Linked DNA regions of Oryzias latipes. The protein of the gene in region 1 purifies or fractionates together with the protein of each later gene. This does not show direct contact. Links are inferred from orthologs where the notes say so. Each region holds a gene or a part of one and is shown on either strand. Other genes may lie near its edges.

Evidence for each region. Proteins that work in one complex are often made in the same cells at the same time.
Region 2: the proteins of angiomotin (region 1) and mpdz purify together in Homo sapiens (affinity purification with mass spectrometry; 4 studies listed by BioGRID and IntAct, with this or other methods). This does not show direct contact. The link is inferred for Oryzias latipes from reciprocal best matches to the Homo sapiens genes AMOT and MPDZ.

What each region holds. Positions count from the first base shown.
Region 1 is NC_019872.2:12,821,518-12,825,171, reverse strand, and holds part of angiomotin, read left to right. Parts: intron 1-1,212; coding exon 1,213-2,230; intron 2,231-3,327; coding exon 3,328-3,654.
Region 2 is NC_019876.2:9,319,407-9,323,060, forward strand, and holds part of mpdz (multiple PDZ domain protein), read left to right. Parts: intron 1-392; coding exon 393-606; intron 607-703; coding exon 704-826; intron 827-1,239; coding exon 1,240-1,434; intron 1,435-2,856; coding exon 2,857-2,959; intron 2,960-3,654. UniProt on the Homo sapiens protein: Member of the NMDAR signaling complex that may play a role in control of AMPAR potentiation and synaptic plasticity in excitatory synapses. Promotes clustering of HT2RC at the cell surface.

The DNA.
Region 1 (3,654 bases):
AAAAAAACAAAAAACACAATTTTCATTGGAGTGGGTCTTTAAGTTGGCTGTCTGTTGATCCACTGGAGTAACATGACACAGAATAGACAGACAGAAATGCTGTTTGGAGAAATCCCAAAAGGATTTATGCTTGCATCCTCCACATGTATTCCAGCTATCACTGTTTTAAACAGATCATCTAATAATTGTAAAATTAGGGGTTATTCCCAGAAAAATTCACATTCTTATATAGTTTCTGCCAAAAACGTCCACCGACTGGCCTGCAGTATTTTGTTGAGAACACCAGAGAACAGTGTTATCTTTTCTGAGAAATAAAAAAAAAAGCTGCTTGTGAACCTCTCCTGCAAAGCATCTCTATCAAAGGAAAACAGGGCTTCAGGTCATGTGTGAAAATGGCTTTAAGATGCTTTTTTATGTCTACATTTTCATGGAAATTGTTATTTGTGATATCCTTGTGTTTAAAATAGTGATCCACTGCAAAAACGGCATCTTATTTAAAAAAAAATCTGCCATTAATTATGAAAAAATAAAATGTGTGCTTTTATTTTGTTGATCAACTTGCTTCCTTTTCGATCAACAAATAAAGGCTCTTGAGTTTGTAAAAAAATTGGCGAGGCGTTCACAGACAATTTAAAATAACATGTGGGGTGAGAATTTTAGTTAGTTCTAAGGAGTCTGTTTTCGCAGATGTTTGTCATATTTTCAATAGAATTCTGGTTTCAAGCTATATCAGGAAATAGTAAGCAGTTAAATTAAGAGAAAATGAAATTACTGTTATTGGGTTATATTATTTTATGCTGAGATTAAAATTAGTTTGATATTTTTGCTGTCATTTAAGGATTTTAAAGATTTTTTGCCTTTCATCCTTTAGCTGTTTCATCTCTGATCTGTGGTTGTTGCTATGAGTTACGGTCATCGATTTGAAGGAAACTCTTGATGTTTTGTGGTGTTTGTCACCTGGGTTTGATGGTGCAGGATTTTTCTGATGTTGGTATTCTGTGCTTTTTCAGAAAGTGTTCTTCATCCATGTTATGTTTTTTGTGGTAGGGGAATCGGTGGCTATGGACGGTCCGTCTGCATCTTTAAGCTTTTCTTTTCTGCGTTTGTTTCTCCTTGAATCTCCGCGCTTTTGCCTCTTTGTTTGTACCAAACCGTTAACCGTTTCCCCTCCATTTCCTCATTCTTTATTGCACTTTCTCTTTCCCCGCTTAGGGATTATTGACAGAGGGCGGAGCTTGTCTTTCCATGAGGTTGGTGGCCAGCGGGAGCGAGAGATGAGGGCCGCCGCTGACGAGTCTTCAAACAGCAGCAACAGCGTCGGAAGTGGCGGCAGCACGGTCCTGCAACGCCTCCTGCAGGAGCAGATGAACCGCAACTATGTGCTGCAACAGCAGCAGCAACAGTCTGGGGGAGGAGGTGGAGGGGCAGGAGGTGGAGGTGGTAGTGGAAGCGGTGGGGGTTATTCTGTACAGGGACAGGTGAGCCCCTCTGACGACCATTCCATGGCGTCCCACATCGCGCGACAGGAACCGCAAGGGCAGGAGCTACAGACAGACAACGGCCTGGAGAAACTGGGCTCCACTAGAGCAGGAGGAGGTGGTGGGAGCAGTGGGGGGTGTGTGGGGACTTGTGGAGGTGGCGGCAGCAGCCAGGGACAGTGCCAGAACCCTGAAGATCTCCCCACATACGAAGAGGCTAAAGTGCAGTCTCAGTACTTCCGAGGTCATGGTCCTCCTCCTCCTCAGCCTCAGCAGCACACTAGTCAACCCCAGCAGCCCCCGCTGCCCTCCTCTGTGGGAGCTGCCTTCTACGTCACTGGGGTGACCAGCGCAAAGGTGCGCACCTCCGAGGGTCGCCCCACGTTGCAGCGAATCAACGGCGCTGGAAAGGTGCACCAGGATGACGCGCTGAAGGATCTGAAACAAGGACACGTTCGCTCTCTCAGCGAACGACTCATGCAACTCTCCTTGGCCACCAGTGGTGTGAAGGCTCACCCCCCGGTGAATAGCACCCCACTATCACCCCACTGCCCCCCTCCAGGGCAACCGGGGGATTACTACAAGCCACAGCACCGGGGCCCGCCTCCAGACTACCCCTTTAAAGCCTTCGGTTCCCCGTCCAAGCAGCAAGAACCTGTGGGCCATTTTTACACAGAGCAAAGAGGGAGGGAGCACTCCCGGGAGGTACCAAACGTTCGATACCAGCCCCCACCGGAGTATGGCTCATTCAGGTGAGAAATGCAAACGTGCAATTTTGAGCCCCACTTTACGTAACACGCATCAGAACTCCAGCTAGGTTCTGCTTCATGTGGCCCAACTTCACTGAGGTCAGCTGTGTGAGAAACACCAGTAAATACATTCCAGTTAATTAATTTAAAGATCCACTCTGATAATCTTTTGCTAGATTTTAAAATTTTTCAGTTTTTTGCCCAAATAAAAAAAAAACTTTTCTCTGTCTCCTGCTAGCTTACAGCCCCTCACAGCCCCAACTAACATTATAAGTGCAACAAAAATGGTGAGCAGTATTGGAGCTCGATGTTAGCTAGGACGTACATGAACCTACATGGATCTAGAATCAGAATGGAGCAGAGCAGGGAGCTTGTTTGTGTTCTATGTAACAAATACGATCTTTTCAAACGTCATTTTTTTGTCTGCTCCTGATTCAAAACAATTTGAATGAAGAAATACTTAGAAACTCAATTTTAAGCTTAATTTTATTTATATATGTCCTCCATATACAGAAAAATGTTGTTATCGTCAAGAAGAATGTTAAAAAAACAACACAATTTTCATCAGAGTTGGTCTTTAAAGGCCCAAAAACAAAAAAAAAAAGAACATTGAAAATGAGATCAGGCTGGCAAACCTCCGGCGGGATTTCTCAACAGGGTTTTTGGAAACACCGAGATCCAGTCGAGCTGGTTTTATGTTAGTTATTGCTATTTCCCTCAGAGTGTAACAGCTACAAATTCCTCACAATTTTAATCATCGGGACAGGACAAGCCGGGACACGAGGCGTTCATATTGATGACATTCCTGTGGGGATTAAGGGCAGTGTCATTCGTGCCGTTTCATCCTGATGTTCCAAAACGCCTGGGTTCTGACCTGGCACTTAAAAACAAAGACGTTTTTTACTTTTATGGCCCAAATTCATGAACAAATGATGAAAACAACGCCCCCCCTTAAATTCCCAAAATTTCCATGTTTTAAAAATAAAAAAGACATTTAAAGAGTCAAATTTAATTTTACGCTTTTTTCCAATTTGAGGTAACATAGAAATAAACAGTTAGTTTCAATCAATTTGTCATTTAATAGCTTGATGTCTCCTCAGATCCAGTAAGGAGGGTTCGGTTCACTACCAGAGGTCGCTTCACCACCACAGTCCCACCTCCTCCGTCACCTCTGTTGGCTCCTTGTCACGCGCCCAGTCCTCCACCCTCAGCAGCATGCTGTCTGCCTCCCACTCCTCGCATCCGTCCTTCCCCCACCAGCAGTCTCTTGGGGAGCCTCACCACATGTCTGGACCTCGTAGTCCACATGGCACAGGCTCCCACCAAGGAGCCGAGCCAGGCATCCAAGGTCCAGGTCACCCACCCATGCACAGAGGTCACGCTTTCCCCGCCGATCCCTATGGCTCCACCCCGAGGTTGCACCATCA
Region 2 (3,654 bases), on another chromosome or scaffold:
ACAGAATAAGCACGTTACCACTAAAGCTGGGCTCCTGATTGGTTGACGTGATGCAGAGTTATCACCAAAGTTTAGATAGAACTCTGAAGACATCGCACCACAGGCGAAAATTTAAATGCACGTTGGAATCCAAAATGCGCCGCAGAACTTTCTTGTATGTTGACTTAACATCAAAACTGGACCAGTTTTAAGCACAAATCGAAATTTTGTTTTTTCATTCAAAAATGCCATTTAATCCCAAACTACCGTAATACAAATTTGTTGCTATGAAATACAAAAGTCCAATTTAAAGGGACAAACTGCAGGCTAAAGTTTTTTCTTCAGCCTCAAAAAATACCTAAATAAAGGAATTGCAAAACCCTTTTTCTCTTCACCGCCTGTGGTTCCATCAGCGATGGAAAGCTGAAGGAGGCCGACCAGATCTTGGCCATCAATGGTCAGCCCCTCGATCAGACAGTGAGCCACCAGCAAGCCATCGGTCTCCTGCAGAGTGCGTCCGAGAGAGTGCATCTGACAGTGGCTCGGGGCCCAATACCCCAGCTGACAAGTCCCATCGTGTCCCGCACGCCGTCTGCCGCCAGTACTCTGTCAGCCAACTCCAGCGCGGTACGTTAACAAACATTTTGGGCCGGTCGGTAAAATTAAGTACAGTAATCAAACAAAGGGGTCAAGGTAAATATGGGTTTTTGTGCTTTTGTTCTAGTGGCAACATGTGGAGACAATTGAGCTGGTGAACGATGGCACCGGTCTTGGGTTCGGTATTGTTGGAGGAAAGACTACAGGGGTCATCGTCAAAACTATTCTTCCTGGAGGCATAGCTGACCAGGTGACCAACCTAAATTTAGAAGTTAACCCTTCAACACAGGAGATATTGCCGGCGACACCTAAATAACACACTCTTTGAACTAGTGCAGCTCTTTGACCATTGATGCAATTAACGAAATCTCACGTTGGAGTTATGTTAAATGCGTAAGCTCTCACTCCTGTGAAGTGTTGCATACCAGCGCAAAGCAGTTTTTCCTCTGCTTCAGAATCCGCTGGAAATATGTTAATTGCTGAAACGGTTGAAGAGTTACAGTAGTCAAAAGTATATAAAGCTCTGATGTTAAAGGGTCTAATAAAACTAAAAAGTGTTTCTTGTCCATGTGACCTCTCCAGAAGTGGCACTATGACAATAAACCCAACACTAAATTTGGTCATGATTTTTGAACCAGGCTAATGTTGATTGTGTGTTGAAAGGACGGACGGTTGCGCAGTGGAGACCACATCCTAAGAATTGGGGACACCGACCTCCACGGGATGGGAAGCGAGCAGGTGGCGCAGGTCCTTCGGCAGTGTGGCAACAGAGTTAAGCTGGTTGTGACCAGGGCTCCGGTGGAGGAAACGCCATCTGCGGTCATGTCAGTAGTGCTTCCTACCGTCAGTGAACAACAGGTACCAAAACAAAACAAAGTCGAGTTTAACCAAAAAAAGGACTAATATTCAATGCAATTTATGTACTATTTCATATTCCGCACTATAGTGGTCAAACCTGTACCCGTAGGTGGCCCGCAGGAACTATCAAACCCGTAGAACGCTCGGTGAAAAATGTTCATGCACATTGTTTTGTACACGTTTCTACATGTTCTACACGTATGCTTTGGGCTGTAGGTAGTATCAAAAACTTAAACAACACTCAAGGGTAAGTGACAGGGAAGTAGGTGAGACACAGGCAGGTTCTACAACCCCCCCCCCCACCCCCCAACCCTGTGCAAGGAGCATGTTAGTACTGTTCACGTAAAAAGTGTGCTCTCCTTGTGTGCCTCCGGCGCGTCCCTTGACCAAATAAAAATGACCAAATTAGGAAATCAGGGCATTGTTTGTGATGGTATCTTACGGGGATCCTATGTGTACTTGCGGATCACCTGCACACTACATGTGTACAGCATTTGCATGCAGTCAGTATGGAGCCAGTGCACGTACCTTACTGAAGGGTGAAATCCTGCGCAAAGGGTACCGTACGACAACATCACCTGTACGACATTACCCTTACAAATACTTCACAACACACTTACAACACACACGACAATGGTACATATCATTTTCGTGACGTCTATTGAGTTGGCAACACAAGCCTCCAGGGAACTGTAAGACACACCTGTGCTCCCCTTAAGTCCTTAAGATGCACCAGCACCTCTTTGTGACCCTCTACGGAATCCCCCCCCCCCCCCCCCCCCCCCGCACATAATGGGTCAACCCCCCTAAGGGTCCATTTGGTGTTTCTTTGAATAGGCTAACTCAGCTACCATGTAGCGGTGTGGTGTTGGACTGTAATTTTTACGGGTCGCAAACAAGATTGGGAGTTAAAGGTATTGATTGTGAATATGCTAAAGGGCCTAACGCTTCTAATGGGTCGTAGTTTAGCGTATTACAAGCAAATTCTAGCGTTACTGTGAACATAGTTAATAAACTCTGACTGACAGATTCATCTGTGACTTTTGTCTTGCTTGATGCCTCTTATAGGGCCTTATGCATGACATCATTTTGAAAATAAACCAATCTGGTGCATGTGTGGTACATATAGATTTCATTGTTGTGGTTTTTTTATCGTGCTACAGGAAATAGCTTTATAAATATGAATCAGAACAACTGAAGGTTTCAAGAGCGTTTTATTCTTGTACAATCATCTCTGTGGCTGAATGTCAGTGACTCACAGAAGCCATTATCCTACACCTCCAAATGCACACCTTCTCAGGTTCAGAGTGCTCACTGACCAAGGCTAAAACCCACATCAACAAGGCTATTCGGCACATTACATTTACTATGGGTTTTGGTTTAAATGTCAATACTGTTGTTGATTTAATGATCCCGCCTTAGGCTGACGAGGAAGAGGAGGCCGAAAGCTTCAACGTGTGCCTCACCAAGAACGCACAGGGACTGGGGATCACCATTGCCGGCTACGTGGGCGATAAAAATTCAGGTGAGGGTTCAAAATACACGTTTAAAGACACATGCAGTAAATTGAATTCCTCACATGCTGATATTCTAGTTAACCCTCTTCTCTGGTTGATTTGAATGGTTTGTGAGTCAGGATTCTTTTCACTTCATTTAAATGATAAACACGATAGAAAATCAGGCAAACTGTGATTGGTTTAGTGTAAGTCTATCAACCTAAGGCCGCCTGTTTTTGCGTAAAGGCTTTTTTTATTTTTGCTGCTGTTATTAGAATCTGTGGGTAAACCTTGAGGATTTGGATTCCCAAGAGTCCAGGTCATGTGACCAATTTTAAAAGGAAATTTCTAGTACTTAAAAGATGTGCTAACTGTCCATCCCACCAGGTTTGTAAAGTTGGAGCTTCAAACTACTGACCCAATGAGGTTTTACTTGTTACGTTTTTTATTATCTCCCAATGCTAATGCCAAATTATTTATTTGATCATTTCTAGCTCAGTTTACTGCTACGTCGATGACCTGATGCGCATTTTCTTAGTGAAAGTAAAAAGGGTGAAATCCCCCTTTATTCCATTGGGTAAAATAGTCCTCATGAGATCTTATTGTGACAATTTTTAACAAATGTTGGCATTTTTACCTTAGGAATTTGTTTTGTTTTTTGCCATGCAGGGCTATAAGGGATTTGTGTGTCTTTTTTATTTTGAAACCAGAATTTAGAAAACAG